Linked DNA regions of Notamacropus eugenii. The protein of the gene in region 2 purifies or fractionates together with the protein of the main gene of each other region. This does not show direct contact. Links are inferred from orthologs where the notes say so. Each region holds a gene or a part of one and is shown on either strand. Other genes may lie near its edges.

Evidence for each region.
Region 1: the proteins of YWHAE (region 2) and FRMD6 purify together in Homo sapiens (co-immunoprecipitation; 3 studies listed by BioGRID and IntAct, with this or other methods). This does not show direct contact. The link is inferred for Notamacropus eugenii from reciprocal best matches to the Homo sapiens genes YWHAE and FRMD6.
Region 3: the proteins of YWHAE (region 2) and LMO7 purify together in Homo sapiens (affinity purification with mass spectrometry; 3 studies listed by BioGRID and IntAct, with this or other methods). This does not show direct contact. The link is inferred for Notamacropus eugenii from reciprocal best matches to the Homo sapiens genes YWHAE and LMO7.

The regions. Positions count from the first base shown.
Region 1 is NC_092872.1:326,792,129-326,797,480, forward strand, and holds the start of FRMD6 (FERM domain-containing protein 6), read right to left. Parts: upstream 3,528-5,352; 5' UTR 3,355-3,527; intron 1-3,354.
Region 2 is NC_092873.1:39,406,825-39,412,176, reverse strand, and holds the start of YWHAE (14-3-3 protein epsilon), read left to right. Parts: upstream 1-1,442; 5' UTR 1,443-1,782; coding exon 1,783-1,846; intron 1,847-5,352. UniProt on the Homo sapiens protein: Adapter protein implicated in the regulation of a large spectrum of both general and specialized signaling pathways. Binds to a large number of partners, usually by recognition of a phosphoserine or phosphothreonine motif.
Region 3 is NC_092877.1:261,780,574-261,785,925, reverse strand, and holds the start of LMO7 (LIM domain only protein 7), read left to right. Parts: upstream 1-1,710; 5' UTR 1,711-1,791; intron 1,792-1,798; exon of another isoform or gene 1,799-1,976; intron 1,977-2,760; 5' UTR 2,761-2,762; coding exon 2,763-2,831; intron 2,832-5,352.

The DNA.
Region 1 (5,352 bases), on a different chromosome or scaffold from region 2:
TACTATAATTTTACAATTACTAAGACCATTTTCAAATCTAACTTATAAAAAGTAAAATAAAAAGACTGGGTCAAACATAAATATATGCCAGGTTGTGTTAATTCTAACCACTACCAGTTCACTTTTTCTGCCTCAGCTGAAAAAAATTCTACATAGTATTAGCACTTAATGAAGCTTATTCCAAACAATTGTTTAAAAAAATCCCATCTCAGCAGAAAAAAAGAAAACATCTTTCTAAAGAGCTCAAACAATATCATAAATACACTTTACAAAAATGTAACATGAAACTTACTTCCCAATTTGAGGTTTTTGAAAAATCTCAAAATAACTATGCTTTCTATATGTTCCATCTGGGCTCCAGGTATTATGCACAAACAAAGGGAAATCTCACTGAGATCATTCAAATCTCAAGTTCATATACATTTTACCACCTGGTATATATTAATCTCTTCTTGGTATTAGATTTCATGCAGTAAAATAATTGCTTGCAGATTTTATACTAAAATTCCTTTAGATATCAAAATGTGCAACTTCCAAGTTCAAAATTACTTTGCCTCACAAAAGATAATATTCCTTCACACTAAAATCTGAGAGTTTTATCAAAAAGACTGATTAATCTGAAATCTTTCATTTCCAGCATGATTCTTAAAGTCTATCACGTAATCATAAATTCTGAAAGCCAAAAACTTTAGTACCACTGCAGAGGAAAACTGGAAACAAAGTGCCACAAACTAGAAAAACTAAAGAGCATAATTGACTTAAATATTTTACAAGAAAATCCATTAATTCAGTAACAATTTTAAAGAATTTGGAGACAAAATACCTACAGCCAGAATCTCCAATACAGATTGAAAATCTGAATTATACCAACACTAAACTTTGACAAATTCATGTTTTCATTTGTACTATTTTATTCATTTTGCATTTTTTCCAAAAGCTTCTCTGATCAATCCCGCAGTGTCTTAACCCTGAAAAATTCAAGAAATACAGTGTTCCAAAAAAAAGGGGTAGAGAAGAGGAGAAACAAATATTTCCTGCACACAGAAACTTTTTTGGAACATTCCAGTGGTCAATCAGTGCAAGATCTTAATCATCCCCTTCCCTGCCCCCACCAAAAAAACAAAAAAGTCCAGTTCATATTACAAGTACGCTGCTTGGCCACAGGCAGCTGGGGGCTCAGTGGATAGAACTGTTCCTTCACAGGGTTGGAGCACACAGTGGGAGTTATGTAAAAGTTTAGTCTCCTCAGAGAAGATAGTCAGCATAAGTCTAGTCAATTTTCCAAAGGTGTGTTTTTATGTGAAATACGAATTTAACATCTGTAAAATATACTGACATCATCCAGATATCATATTTCTCACAGACATTTATAATATTCTGCCCTATACTTTATTGCCCAAACCACAAAGGCTTAAATTTCTACCGAATTTTAAACATGAGGGCCACAGTCAAATCATCTGTCTTTTTTCTGTTCCTTTTCCTCACCACTCTTTTAGGAAGGCTTTAAAAGGACTTGATGGCTATTTAAAAATATTTTCTTCAAAATTCTCAGAAGTCCTATTTTGAAAAACTCTACACTGTTTACTGCCACTGAATGCAAATGTATGATCCTATTTTAAAACAAACAAATAATAGACATATATCTCAAAATAACCATGCTTTCTGAGGGGAAAAAAAGTTTCCCCACAGAAAGTTTTGAGGCAGTGAAATATCAGCTTGCTGAAATCACTGAAAGGAAATGACTAACATTCTTGGAAAATGAAGCCACTGGCAGCTTTCTCCAACATAATCCCTAAAACTCTGCCCTGTGGCAAAAGAGTATTTTGTGTATAAATAAATAAATTTAGATAGATTCTTTCAAAGCTAATAAATAAAATATCTGGGGTTCTCCCAGAAAGGCTATTAGGATTATATCTAATACAGAGGAAATCCCAAGAAGACATGACATTTACTGTGCATTCTGAGATCAGATTCAGAACCAATGGAAGACAGAACCTTAAATTTAAACGCCATGACAAATTTTTGATGGTTTATTATGGTTTCCTCTAGCATTGTGAAACAATAAATTCGCTGGTTCCATTGGACACCAGAAGAAAACAAAGGATTTTGTGATATGTTATTAAATCCAAACACATCCTTGGGGAGGCGAGGGCGGCAAAAACAAAGAAAGTTGAGGAAGTCCAGGGACCAGAGTCTACTGAGACCATATCACACGTGAGTGACTTGAAAAACTGTGGCTCTTCATTTCAGGAGTAAAATATGCTTTTGCAGGGCAGTTTTTCCACCAATTCATAGCTTCCAAACAAAAATCCACTATTAACATATTCCATGGCAGAGACTTAACTCTTACTTCTGCGCAGAACACATGACTTCAATGCACTCTTTCATCCTGCTAGACAATTTCACACAAATGGAAACATTGGCTACCTCACTAGTAAATTACTCTAATTCCTGCCATGTCAATTTCCGAAAGCACCCATCTGTAAGGTGCTACAGGGTCCTCGGCCTCCACACGTGCAGTCCTGCTGACTCGGGCGATCCTGGCTCTCTCCAACACTCAGCATCAGCTCCGTAGGGTGCGGGTTATTACCCCGAGGAAGACCCACGGCTTAGCTACATCCCAACACCCACCTCCAGGTCCCTCAAACTAGGCAGAGCAGCTTTCGGGAGAAGCAGCTCCCTTGCAACAACTTTAAAGAGCTGCCTCCCCGCTGGGAATACCAAGGCAAGTGACAGTTTGGGGTTCCTCCCACATGTGGCAGCCCCTTCCCCCCATCTTCCAGTTCCAGGACTGTGGTCGGTATAAACTAGGCTGTTGGAGCGCCCAGCGGGACATGGTTAATATGTTTTTCGTGAGCCCAGAGAACCCGGGAAGGGAAGGAGGAGGGAAGGAAAAGCGGGGGCGGGAACGCGGAGTTGAAAGGAGGCAGCGACCAAGCAATAAATAGAGCCTCATTTCTTGAAGGTAGCAAGTCACCAGCACCGCCTGCCTCCAGCAACCTCACCCCACTCCTAGGACTTAGGCACAAGGCTAATGCATCCTCCAGTCCCAGGGATTTGCTGGGAGCAGCGAATTTGTAAACGGCAAAACGACCCTAAAAGCCAAAGGGTGGAGGGGAGGGAAAACAAGGGTGGAGGAGAAAAAGAGACGAGATATTTCTTCGTCTGAGGCCCGCCAGCTTTTTCCACTTTGAAGCACCCCCTCCCCCCTCCCCAACCCTCAAAGCCCTGCTCTACCGCGTCTGCCAGGGGAGCCAAACCAGAAACTGTGTGGGGCCCATCGGGGCTCGGACTGAAACACCGCCGGACTTTCCCCCACCCCCATTGCGGGGCACAGGCTTCCACCTCCCCTACCTTAAATAAATTCGAAGACAGGAGGCATCAGAAACTCCTTTCGCTCCTCTCTGCCCAGGGCTTTCCTCCACCTCCTCCCCGTCTCAGTCTCCTCCGCCTTTAGCCTTGGTAGCGATCGCCCCGCTTCCGTCCCGCCCCTAGTCCCTCCTCTTCCACGTCCTCTCCCTCAACTCGTCACTAGGTGGCCGCCGAGCTACATGGGAGCTCCTCGGGGGACCGGCACGTGGACGCCCGCCAGCCCCGCCCCCGGGACCGTACCAAGTGCCTTCTAAGGGGGAAAACCTGAGGCACAGAAGAAAGGAGAAGGACGTCTAAGCTTTAGTCAACGATGGATCCTACATCCTGAGTATAACCACAAGCTTGTAACTCTTCAGAAATATGCGATACTTGTAACATAAGGAATATTCCTCACTTTAACAGAAAAATCCTTGGTATCGCCCCCCTTCTCCTAGATAGAGCCTCCCTCTTTCTCCTTAAATATGAGTTTGGTTTGGGAGATGTATGTGGGGCTGCATGCTTGGCTGCTTGTTTGTCTAATTCCACGAAATTAGAGGTGATAACTCAGAGGAAGTAGCAAAGGAGGACTCTGTGCCTCCCACAGTTATGATACTGCAACAACCATCTTTACAAAGCGGGCCTTTTGAGTATTGTAAAGTATGTGTCTGTAAAAATTGAACGCATCTCCCATTGCTATCTGGAGGACAGAAGTGATATTTTAGGTATTTTAAATGCCTTGTCCCGCTCTACTAGTCATCAAATGGTTCAGGGTAGCTTGAGGAAATTCAAAGACTGGTAATGTTTAGGGGTGAAGTCTCCTTGAGGAGCAGGGACACTGGAAAAGAAGAATTTCTCTGTAATTAATCTCCTATTTTTAAGTTTTCTTTCCATTAGGATGTCAGCTCCTTGAATGCAGGTGCTTGAATCTCTCTCTCTCTCCCTCTCTCCCTCTCTCCCTCCTCTTTAAATCCCAGCGCTCAGTGCAGAGACTGACAGCAATAAGAACTTACTGATTGATAACTACATTAGATCTGATCATGTCTGTAACTGTAAGGAAGTAGTGAAGAAAGTGGACAAATGAAAGACAAGCTAAGAATGGAGGTGAGTGGATATCTAGAATTACTCCATCCTTGCCTTACCCTCAAGTATGATCACTCAACATTAACAACTGTAGCTCCAACCACTTACTTTCCTACTCTCCTAGCTCTTCTTCCTTTCTTGTCATTCTGCATCTGACCTAGTCCAGGTCCTAGTGGACCCATAGACAATGGAAATCAAAACCCCTCAAGATGAGGCCTTCGCAGAGGACATCAATGGGAGTGATGACTCAGGAGGAAAAAGTGAGGTTGGGGACTTTGCACATCTCTCACTCAAAACAAAGTCAAGTGTAAGTCGTGTCATCATTTCTCTGATGACATGGTCTTCAAAAAAACAGAAGGAAGAACACAACAACACACACAATGGGAGTGAATCAAGAGAAGGATGCAAAGATAAATTATGTTGAATAGGAAACAATTAAAACTTTAAAAATTAACTTTAAAAATCATACTGCTTTTCTTTTTTGGAGGGAGTTACACAAAAATCATTAAAACCCACCAATATTAATTGCCATTCAGTCCATTTCAACATACCTTTTAAAAATATTTGCTGAAGGCACTTGCACAGTATTGGGCCTCCCTTTCCCTCCCTCCCCCAAAAATACAAAAAAAATCAACACAAACCATTTAAGTTTACATTCTATTGGGAAATACACAGAGGCAAGATAAGTAAATGAAAGATCATTTGAGGAGGGAGGGAGCTAACAACAAGGAAAAATTCCTTTGGGAGCCAAGTAAGCCTTGAAGAAATCAAAAACCTCCCAGTGGAGAAGTGAGGCAGCCCAAACCAAGCTTGGGACTGCAGACACTACAAGTAGACCAGTTTGACTGGAATGTAGAGTACATGAAAGGGAGTAATGAAATAAGGCTGAAAGATAAGTTGTAACCAGATGGTGCAGAACTT
Region 2 (5,352 bases):
AGATTGGCCAAACTGACAAAAAGGGAAAATGACAAATGGTGGAGGGTCTTTGGGGAAAATAGGCACACTCAGGAAGTGTTGATGGAGCTTTGAAATGGTACTGCCATTCTGGAAAGCACTGTGGAACTCGGCCCCTGAATGCACATGCTCTTTGATCCAACAAAGAAGAAAAGGTCCTATGTATATAAAAATATTTTATAGCAGTTCTTTTTGTGGTGTTAAAGACTTGGAAATTGAGGGAGTAAGCATCAACTGCGGAATGGCCAAACAAACTATGGAATATATATATTTGTTATGGCACATAAAAGGTGTGGAAACTTTAAAGCAGTGTATGAATGCTATCATGATGATGATGACATGAATGTAATAAAAAAAATACTGTGCTGTAAGAAATGAAAAGGTAGTTTGAGAAAAACCTGGGAAGATTTGTGTGAACAGATTCAGAGCAAAGGAAGCAGAACCAGAAAATTTACAGAATGACCCTACTGTAAAAAATGAACACTTTTGAAAGATGATAATTCTGATCAACAAAATGACTAACCATGACTCCAGAACACTAATGAGGAATGTTACCCATCTCCTGTTAGAGGTGATACATTCGATATTCAGGAGACAAGGTTTTCGCAGGTGGTCAATATGAGAATCCAGTTTTGCTGGATTGTGCTTAATTACAAGGGTTCTGGCTTTCCTTCTTTCTCAGGGAGGTGGGATGGAGAAAAAAATGACAGATAATTGAAAAAAATTAATTAAAACATTTTCTAAGTCTTCTCTTTTCCAGACTAGACATCCATCAAGGAGGCAAGGAACCTGTGCAGTCAGACTGTCAAACACCCTCCTTTTACAGAAGAGAAAACTGAGGCCACAGCTAATATGTGGCAGAGTCATTAATAGAACATGGACTCTTTTTTAACTTGAGAGTTCCCGGGCCAAAATCTGGCTGAGAACGGAAGGGAGGGCCCTGCGTGGAGGCACGGGCGGCATCTGGACCGGCTTCAGCTTTACCACTAGGGTTGAGTCCATGTCACGACTAAGGAAAGTGGATACAGCTAAGTATACAGACAGGCGCACATAATTGCATGTTCCCCTCCCCCCCAGGGCAGAGCCGTTCCCAATCCCTGGAGCCCTCCCGGGGAACCACCACGTGCCCAGCAGGGTCCCTGGGGACACCTCATTCCGCACCGCTGGCCCCCCACCTCTCTAGTGCGTGTGGGGGTACAGCCTGGCCCTCAGTCCCCAGGGGGTAGAATTCGAATTCTCCTCCAGACCGTCCCCCGCCTTGATAGACCCAGGCCAGGCCAGGCCAGGTCACTCCATAAGGCTGGGCCGGGATTTCGGGTTGGGGCCAGCGGGTCCGCGACCCCCCAGGGCTGGGAGAGGGCGGGGCCTCGGGGCAGCCAGTCTAAGGCCGTCCGTCCATCCCTCCGTCTTTCCGTCGGTCTGTCGGTCAGCCCCACCACAAGCAAAGCCGACCGCGGCCGCCGCTCCCCTCGCCCCGGCGTCTGCCCCACCCCCTCCCGGCCTCCCGCGCCCTCCCGCCGGGCTGGCTGGGGGAGCCCGGCCCCGCCCCTTCCATCCGCTCGGGCTCCAGCCCCGCCCCCCGCGCCAGTTGCCAGGGAGCGGTTGCCATAGAGCTGAGCAGTTGTCCGCGTGCGCAGGCGGAAGTTCCCGGATCGAGGCGCCGCCATCTTTGCTGCCCGGACGCCGAGCGAGAGGCTGACAAGAGAGTCGGAGCCGCCATCCGCTGCCATCCGTCGCGCAGACCCTGCCGGAGCCGCCGCCGCTATGGACGATCGGGAGGATCTGGTGTACCAGGCGAAACTGGCCGAGCAAGCCGAGCGATACGACGGTGAGCTGGGGAGGAGCGGCGAGCCGGAATCCCCGGCCCCGCCGCCGCCGCCGCGGCCGCCGCCGCCCACAGCGGCCAGGATCAGGAGACAAAATGGCGGCGGCCGCGGCGGCGTCTCGCAGCCCGGCCCGGGGAAGGCGGGCTCGGGGCGCGCGGCCGGGCCCTGCGGGTGAGGGGCTCTGGGGGCTCGTGCGGTTCCGCGTCGCCGCCGCCGCCCCCCCTCCGAGGCTGCGCGTGGGCATGAGACCGGGGCCACCGCGGTGGAGGGAGCTGGTTGTAAAATGGCGGCCGGGGGAGGGCGAGTCCCCGGGCGGGGGAGGGGGAGGCGGCGGCGGCCTCGGCCTCGGCCTCGCTCCCTCCCGGCCGCTCGGCCCCCGGCCAGCCCCGGCTCCCTCCCCGCCGCGTGCCGCTCGGGAAGATGGCGGGTGGGGGGCGGTGGCTCCCCGAGGCCCGAGGCGGGGCGGCGGCCGCACAAAGGAGCCGGCCGCGGGCCATCCTGCCTGGAGGCCGATCCCCGGGGGCCCCGCGGGCGGCGTGGCTGGGCCGGGAGCGCGCAGAACCGGGGCCGCCCTTTAATCCCGCCTTCCCTCCCCGAGCGAAGGCGGCCCCGGCCCGCAGCCCCCCTGGGGGCCCCGGAGGCGCCGGCTCGGGCCTAGCGGCCCCAGTCCATCTTGGTGGATGGAGGGCTGGGCCTGGCCCAAGGTTCGGCCCTGGGGTTCGGGCGGCCCGCCGTCGGTTCGAGTCGTGGCGGAAATAAATGGATTCCATCCTTTTATTTTTTTCTGCGGGGGAGCATTTTCACATTTAAAGGGGAATTTCTGCCTCGTCTCCCCGGCCCCGAGGCTGTTTCGCCCCCGGCACGTCCCTTCGGGCCGCCCCTGGTCAGCCCCCCGCGGACCGAGCCGCGGATGCCGTCCCTCCTGCATTCATTCACCCACCATCTTTTGGCCCCGTGGCCGAGCCCATCACCTCCCTTTTCTTCTCCCTCCGGAGCCCCGCCTCCCTCCTCCCCTCCCCTCCCCCTCCCCGCGGGCTCCCTTCCCCCTCCCCCTCCCCCTTTTTGTGGGGAGGAGGGGCGGGCGGTGGAACCTGGTGGATTTCTCCTCACCTTGGGCCTCGTTAATCCCGTGAATTTCCTGCGGCTCCACGGGAGAAAGTTGAGCCACGAGGACACGTTCAGCTTCTGGGTTGGGGTTTGGGGACGTGAGACAGACGTCCATAGGCTGCAGCCTCCTTCTCAGAAACTTGGAAGACTAGGGCACTTGGAAGCCCTCAAAATCCTGATTTAAAAAGCATTTCTTTGGGAGGGGAAAGGGATTGTTTCTGAGGGACTCATTTTGTTATTTAAAGTCCAAGCAGAGGGAGGCATACTGTCGTTTAATGAACATTTATTAAGCGCCTACTGTGTGTCCAGGCATTAAGTGCAGGATTGCTGCTGATTTTTTTCCCCCATTCTTTATATATTCCACATAAATTCTCAACTTGTTTCTTTTTTTCTGAGTAATATAAAATTATTAATTGATAAGTTTAAATAAGATCACCTTGAGGGACGGAAAACTTGCTTCCATGTCCCCATTCTAGTTAAGTTCTGGAATTTTTAAGATCCAGTTCAAGGTCGGAATGGGAAAAATAAGATTTTGCAAATAAATGGTAGTTAGCTGTTTAGGCCTTTTTTAAAAACTAAGGTTACTAAAGGTACTTCTGGTCAGTCACGTTGTTTCAATGCTGTACTTGCCACATCTAAGGTGGGAAAGGAGGAGGAGGCCAGTACGATTATGGGAGGTAACCAAGTTAAGAAAGGGATGAGAAGGTTTCCACCTTTGTGGATCAGTATGTGAAACTGTTAACAAATATTATAGATTTTGTCATTTGTGTGTCCCAGGCTCAGTGAAATAGCTGTTTTGGGGGGGAGGAGGAAGAGACAATCATACTTGAGGATGTTCAAGTCTTTTAACAAAATGGATGGATCCCCAAGCTCTTGGTTGCTAAGCAAATAACATTTTCCTTCTCTATGAATGGGATGAACCAGATTCTTCCATCTGCCCATCTGAACTTGATCTGGTTCTCCTCCCACTTTTCCCCTTACTCTTGCAGTGTCCCTGACAATTTATTGGAATTTCTTCGTTGAAATTCAACTGCTTAATTTTTTGTTGTTACTTTTATTCTTCAGGTCAGAGATAAAATAGAGGAACTAAGCCCTAAACCTCCCTGGGAAACAGGGCAATTTTTTGACTGCATAGGAAGCCCTAGACCAGCTCCACTTCCTGCCAGTTGTCCCTGAAGGTTAAATCAAACATCCTACCACGGTTTGAATATGTCAATATTCAAAGGTTTCCGTGGTAGGTGGTTGTGGTGCTTCTTTGGATCCTTCTTTGGATCTATTCTTTGTTAAGGAGACAAATTGCAAGGGAATATATTTAGAGTGGTGGTTTCATGTGTTTTCTGACCTTAGAAACGGGCTACAAGACATTTTTAAAAAAGACTTCTTGAAACCCTAATAATAGCCTATAAAGCAAATAAGGTTTGCATAAGACTTTCTGCCTAAGGGAATTAAAAAAACACTTTCTAAGTTTTCATTTACCTTTTCACTTTCCTTGGACTTTGGAAACATTTATACAGTGAACACCTTTCTGATGCCCTTGGTCTATTCCTTGGGCAGCCAGGTCACTGTGGGACTTGAGGGGTAGTTGGTGTGCCCTTGTTATTTTCTTTTCTCCTTCTTTGCCTGAGTATATTTAATTCTTTATCAACTAGACTAGGATTTGAGATAGTTGCTTTGACCTATGTATCTGTTGCAGAAAACTATTACCCCCAGGGATTATTTTTTTCTCTGACTGGAAGCTCTCCTTTTTGACATCAAAGCCACTTCTGACCTTCCTGAGTTTTGAATAAAGTATTAAGAAGGTTTTTTTTAGTTAGAAAAAAGAAACAAATAAGAAATGGATTCATTTTGTCTGTTTAAAAGAGAGGCTGCTATTCTGGGTGGTTAGACAAGAAATAGTAAACTCCCAATACTCTTCATGTTGCCATTTCAATTAATAGGAGATTTAACCTAGTTCTGTCCTTAGAGACTTAGAACATTTAGAAACTTTGCAGCTTTTTTTTCCTCTCATTTGTATTTTGACTTCTCCTAGGCTGTGAGTACAACTTGAGGCTTAGCATTTTAGTATCACCTCCATTTTTAGAATCTAAGGAGGCATGAATTCCTTCACAGCATCTTCTCCTGTTCTCTACTTGATTTCTGGTGAGTGAAAGGAGTTACTACCAGGGCATTTATTTTCTACAGTTTTTAATCGTTGTGAAGTTCTTTCTTATGTTAAGCTGAAATTCCGAGGTAGCTCACCACTGGTCCTAGTTTTGCTTTCTGGGTCCAAGTGTAGCTCCTTAGGCATTTGGTGACAGTTCTTGAAACGAAACATCCCCCATTCCCCACCCTTTTCACATATTGCTTAGTTTTGAGTCTCATCACCACTTAACAGTGGACATGAAGTGAAAGAAGACCTAGG
Region 3 (5,352 bases), on a different chromosome or scaffold from region 2:
TTTATTTATTTTACTTAGGAACTTTAGGTGTGGGTGTTGGCTTCTCCTTTCAGTACCAGTCATAGATGCTTTTCCTTTTGATGTTTAATTGTGTCTTTGCTGAGTAGTGTATCACATACCCTTGACTCTCCTTGACTGACTTTCTGCATCAAGATTAGGACTGACAAGATATAGAACTGAGGTGGTCAATAAAGTGTAGATTCCTAACTTCCCTGTTACATTTATCTTGGATAGGCATTGGAGCTGGACAATTTTTGGACCAATTTTATTGGAGATAGAGAGTAGACTGGATTGCCTTTCAGAAATTATGTGGTAAAAGCTTCTTAAAAATCAATATTCTTTCAGTGATACTATATGTACAGCCCTCCCTCACTCAAAACAGTCAAGTGCAAGTCATGTCATCATTTCTCTGATAGAATAGTCTTCTTTGGCAATGAAGGATGAACACAAGACTATATGGCAGTGACCATAGAACACCTCTACCTATGAAGAATCAAAATTTTGAACAACTCAGAGAGACCCATGTTGAGGGTAAGTCAAGTTACATCCTGCATTTTGTCAACCTTGATTTGATAAATGGTATGAACTTCCTTGAGAACATGTATGACTGTAATGGATGGGAAGACCATTCTTGTGGTCAAGGAGAGGGAGTGAGTGAATAGAGTGCTGCACTGATATTCAAGAAATATTAAAAAACCTAGAAGAAGATCTCTAGTACATTGAGTAGATCCCTGATGAAGAATTTCTTCCTTCCCTTTTCCGGAGACTATTTTGAGCAGATGTACTTGGCAGAGCAAGGCTGGTCTCATGATATACCTTTTTAGCCTGAATAATTTTACTCTAGGTATGGGGAAAGGGTATCAAATAGGCATGATGGATAGTATTACAGCGATTCACTGGAGGGCTCAAGAACATTACTGCCTAGAACTCAGTTTCAAGTCACTTAAATGCCTAATCACATAGGGTAGTGATGGTGGTGATAATTTTTTTTAATTGAGGGAACTAAGGAGCTACCCCCTTCACAGGCGAACAAGCATTGGCCGGTTTTCTTCCAGAGATTAAGTCATGGAAAGGAAAGACTTTGAAGCAAGGGGCTTGAAGAGGCAGGAATGGTATTCACTGAAGGAATTCCAAGGTGTCTTAGGTCGTTTAGACAAAAGATTGATGGCATCCCTCAAACAGCTGTCTCCGCAGCTCCTTCTTGAACCGGGTTCACAGGATGCGGCCTGAGCAGACTTACAACCGCCCCTCCTGCCCTGACGGAGATACTCAATGGCGTTCAGGTAAACAAGAGAGACCAGCCTCTCCACCAGGCAAGTTTCCAGCAATCCCAGTGTGTGCCAGAGCTGACCTGGGGGAAACCACACTGGGAGGGAGGGGAAAGGCGAAGAGAGTAGGCTTCATTCTCCTGCCTCCCAGCCTAAAGTTATTTGATCGCACAGAAAGTGAGTGGGCTGCGGGGGCGAGCTGCAGGTGACCCTCACCCACCTGTAGGAAATGTGAAGGAGGAACGAGGGAGAGGAACGAGAAGCAGGGGAGGAGGGGCTCTTTGGAGAGGGGGGTAGTTTGGGTCCCAGTCCCGACGAACGCTACCCTCACCTGCCGCCAGGAGTCCCCTAGCAGGGAGGGAATCTCGGGGGGAGGAGAGAGGGGGCTGGGGCTGCGGCTGGGGCTGGGGCTTGGGGGCGGGGCGGGGGCAGAACACCTGGTGGGAGGGCGAGGAGCTCCTCTCCCAGCTTCCAGGCGGCTCGAGGAGGGTGCCGGCGAGCGTGCCCAAGGCTGGAGTCCCAGGTAGAAGGGGCTGGCTCGGGAGCCCAGCGAGGGGAGGGGGCCGGGCGAGCCGATCCCAGCTCCGAGTCTTGGAGGGGCTCCTGGCTGGGCTGCCTCCGCGGGGCGGCTGCGTTTCCGCGGCCAGGGCACCCAAGAGGGGGAAGTTTCTTGGCTGGGAAGGATGCGATTGTGTTGAGCTATTCCTGGTATGTCGGGCACTGGCCCTGCAGCCGGGAGCTCCGAGGACTCGGTTTCCAGGGGATCCGGGAAGGGAATGAGCTCCGTTCGGGGAGGGATAGGGGCCAGAGACCCCGGGAGGGAGGGGACGGGACGGGACGGGACTGGGAGGGCTCTTTCTCCGGGAGGCTCAGGCTCCCCGGGGTGGCGGGCTGCCCTCCCCCTGGGGCTTGCCCTCCGACGTGGATTTGGCATCCCACGGCTCAGACAACCTAAACCACAAGGGCTGGCACGGCCCATGCCCAGGGCACAGCCGGAGGAGTAGGCGGCGGGCGGGCCGAAGCGGCTGCTCCACATGGCCCCGGGCTTCAAAGCAGCTGCGTCGGGGCAGCCAGGGCCGGGAAGGCTGCGGTGGTTCCGGGGGAGCGCAGAGGAGGGGAGCTGCTTTTGAAGTTCAAACAGTTCTTGGGGCTGTCTCTCTCCTCCCCCTTCTCCCCTTCCCCCTCCCATCTTCCTTCTCCTCTCGGACTGCCCTGGTCCCTGCGGACCCTGGTTCGTTTTCAGGGCTTTGTAGAAAGCAGTTTCTTCAAATTCTTGTGGTTTCGGGGCATTAACAAACTCCAGAGAGCAACAAAGGGGAAAGGGGACTGGGACCATTCCAGGCAGAGTGGAGTGACAAGCCGCGCTGCCTCTTGGTCCCCAGTCCCAGAGCAGCCTCGTTAAGTTGTGCTGACCCCCCTCCCCAATCCCGCCCCTCCTCGCCCACCCACCCATTTCTTTCTCTTTCTTTTTTTCCCTCCCCTCTTCCTCTAGTCATGGAAGGGAGAGAGGATGCGGAGTCCAACTGTGCTGTAGCATTCGCTGAAGCTCAGAGATGGGTGGAGGTGAGTGCATTCCCCCCCCCCTTTTTTTTTTACTTTCCCCCCTTCACGATCTGGTGGCTTTACAGGGGGTTCAAGGGTGACGTTTAAAACCCAAACTGCGTTATTCTTAACGACCCTTCCCTCCCTTCATCTTTGCTACATGGTGGGAGACAATCGATTCAGAAGTGGGTAGTTAGCGGGTAAACTTTTAACAGTTCGAGTCTCTGTCTGTTTTTTAGCTCCCTCTTCCCCTGCAAGTCTCTCTTTCTATTCTTTAAATTATTCTTAAGGTGCAGAGTGAAATAGGTGGTAGTTTGTCCATCACCGTATCAGGTGTCCAGATCCATGCGGACTGTACCAGGATCAGTTGTCTCCCTTGATCCTATCTGGGTCACAATCCAGAGGATGTAATGGTCTGGTGGAATCTCTGCACTAAACCAAAAGGGAGGAAAGAGAAAAATATATTCCTTTTGTTCATATATGACTAAGATGCTGTAAACATCAACCGAACCAGGTTTGTCTCTGTATGTGTGTCTGTGTGGAAGGGAGTGGGGCATGGGACTGAAGCGGCGAAGGGACTTGAAGGGACAGAGAATGGATGAGTAAATACTAAGGCAGTAAACTTGCCTATGAGATTTAGGAGAGGATCTCTAGGGGAGTTTTAATTCTCACTGATGAAGGCTGCTACCGTATTCCTGGGCTTCTAGTACAGCATAGGAGTTCTCTGCTTTCACTGTGCCTTAGAAACACCATCTTCTTGTAGTTTTCTATTCCCTAATTTCCTTTTTTAAAGAAATGTGAGCTCCTTGAGATTTTTCTCTCTGTGCCTTTACATCTACGCTTTGGGTTGAGTTTGTCCCTAAATAGGTTTTCAGGATGATTCCTGGAAGCTTATGGAGAAAGAACACTGGTGGGGAAAAAGTTTTCTCAGTAAGTGTGCTAGACTAGCATACACACACACATAATGTATATTATATACATATATTCACAAAAATGGCTTATTGGAACATTGTCTTGCACATTGGTACTCTTAGCATTTGGAACCAATGTTTATACTTTCTTAGTTTATTGAAAGATGGTTTTTTTTGGAATGAATTTTTGAAGACTATACCACACAAAATGCAATTTTTTAAAGAATGTAAGTTTTAGCAGGTAAAAAAACAAGTAATAGATTAATTTCTTTTTCCTCACAGGTTTATTTACTAAGCATCTCTTTGGACAGACATTTTGATCCCTTAGCTTGAAGATGAATTTTTTTCCATATTTTTAAAAAAAGCATGTAGAAGGCTTGAGTAGGCTAAGAAAATAATATAGAGACTCTTTAATTGAAATGAGAATAAAGGACCTCCCTCCCCCATTTGCTTAAAAGAAAATAACTTTTCTCTGTTTGGCTATATTTTTAAGTATGTACTGCAAAAGTAAATTTGCATGTATCATTTTTTTTGAGACATTGTCCTGGACATCTTAGAAGAGGAAGTGTGTGTGTGTGTGTGTGTGTGTGTGTGTGTGTGTGTGTGTGTGTAGGAGATCAGAAAGAATGGGGTATTTTTGCTGTTGTTTATATTGGACATTTTACAGTTTCTAAAAGAGTATTCATGGTATTTGTATGTGGGACTTCATGCTTCTCTTTTCTTTAGAATAATTATAAATATGTTTGACTTCCACAAGTGTGTGTGTGTGTGTGTGTGTGTGTGTGTGTGTGTGTTCTGGTTTCTTTGAACTAAAAGTTCAGTAAGTATTGCAACTTTCCCATGAACTTAATGAAACCTATATTTTAGGATCTTCCATGAAATAATCCCAATGAAGGAATGTGTATTTGTGTTGTATAATTATGTTAAGTATATAAACTTTTCCTCTCCTCTTTCCTCCAAGTTAAAGATCTTCAATGATTTTGAAATTTCCAATAAAAATATTTTTAAGTGTAAGATTATGATTTTGGAGGAAAATTACTGTGCTAGAAACTAGATAACTAATTTTTTCAAAGGATGTATCAATTTAATATAACTAGCCAATATAATTAAAAATAAATGATTCTTTTAAAATACCAGCAGCTATACAAAGGGAGAAGTGTTGTTTGTGTGAATATTTTTACTTCTAGAAAATGATAGAAAATATTTACTGTTCAGATTTTCCAATCTTAAATTTGTAACCTTATCTTTGTGGTTATCATGTTAAGGAAAATTTAAGACAAATTTTAATATCTTTTATTCTCTTAAAAAAAAGAATGAATATAGAATGAATATACAAGAATAGCTTGGATTCTTTCATGGTATCAACTCCTTTCTGACTAAACTAGAACCTTATAAATAATAAGCCATAGATAAAACCTTTTTTGACTTTCACATTTTTTGGCTTTCACATTTTCTTGACTTTTTGAGGTAGGTGGAAAAAAGAAAGATTGTTTTTTAGTTTTGTGTTGTACTTGTTGAGGCACTTTTGCCCCTTTTCTTTTCTCTTTCCCCCCCTTCCAATCTCTCACCTCTAAGCAAATTAGCAATACAAAACAGAGACTTTAATTTTGCCACTTTCTATTCTACTTTTC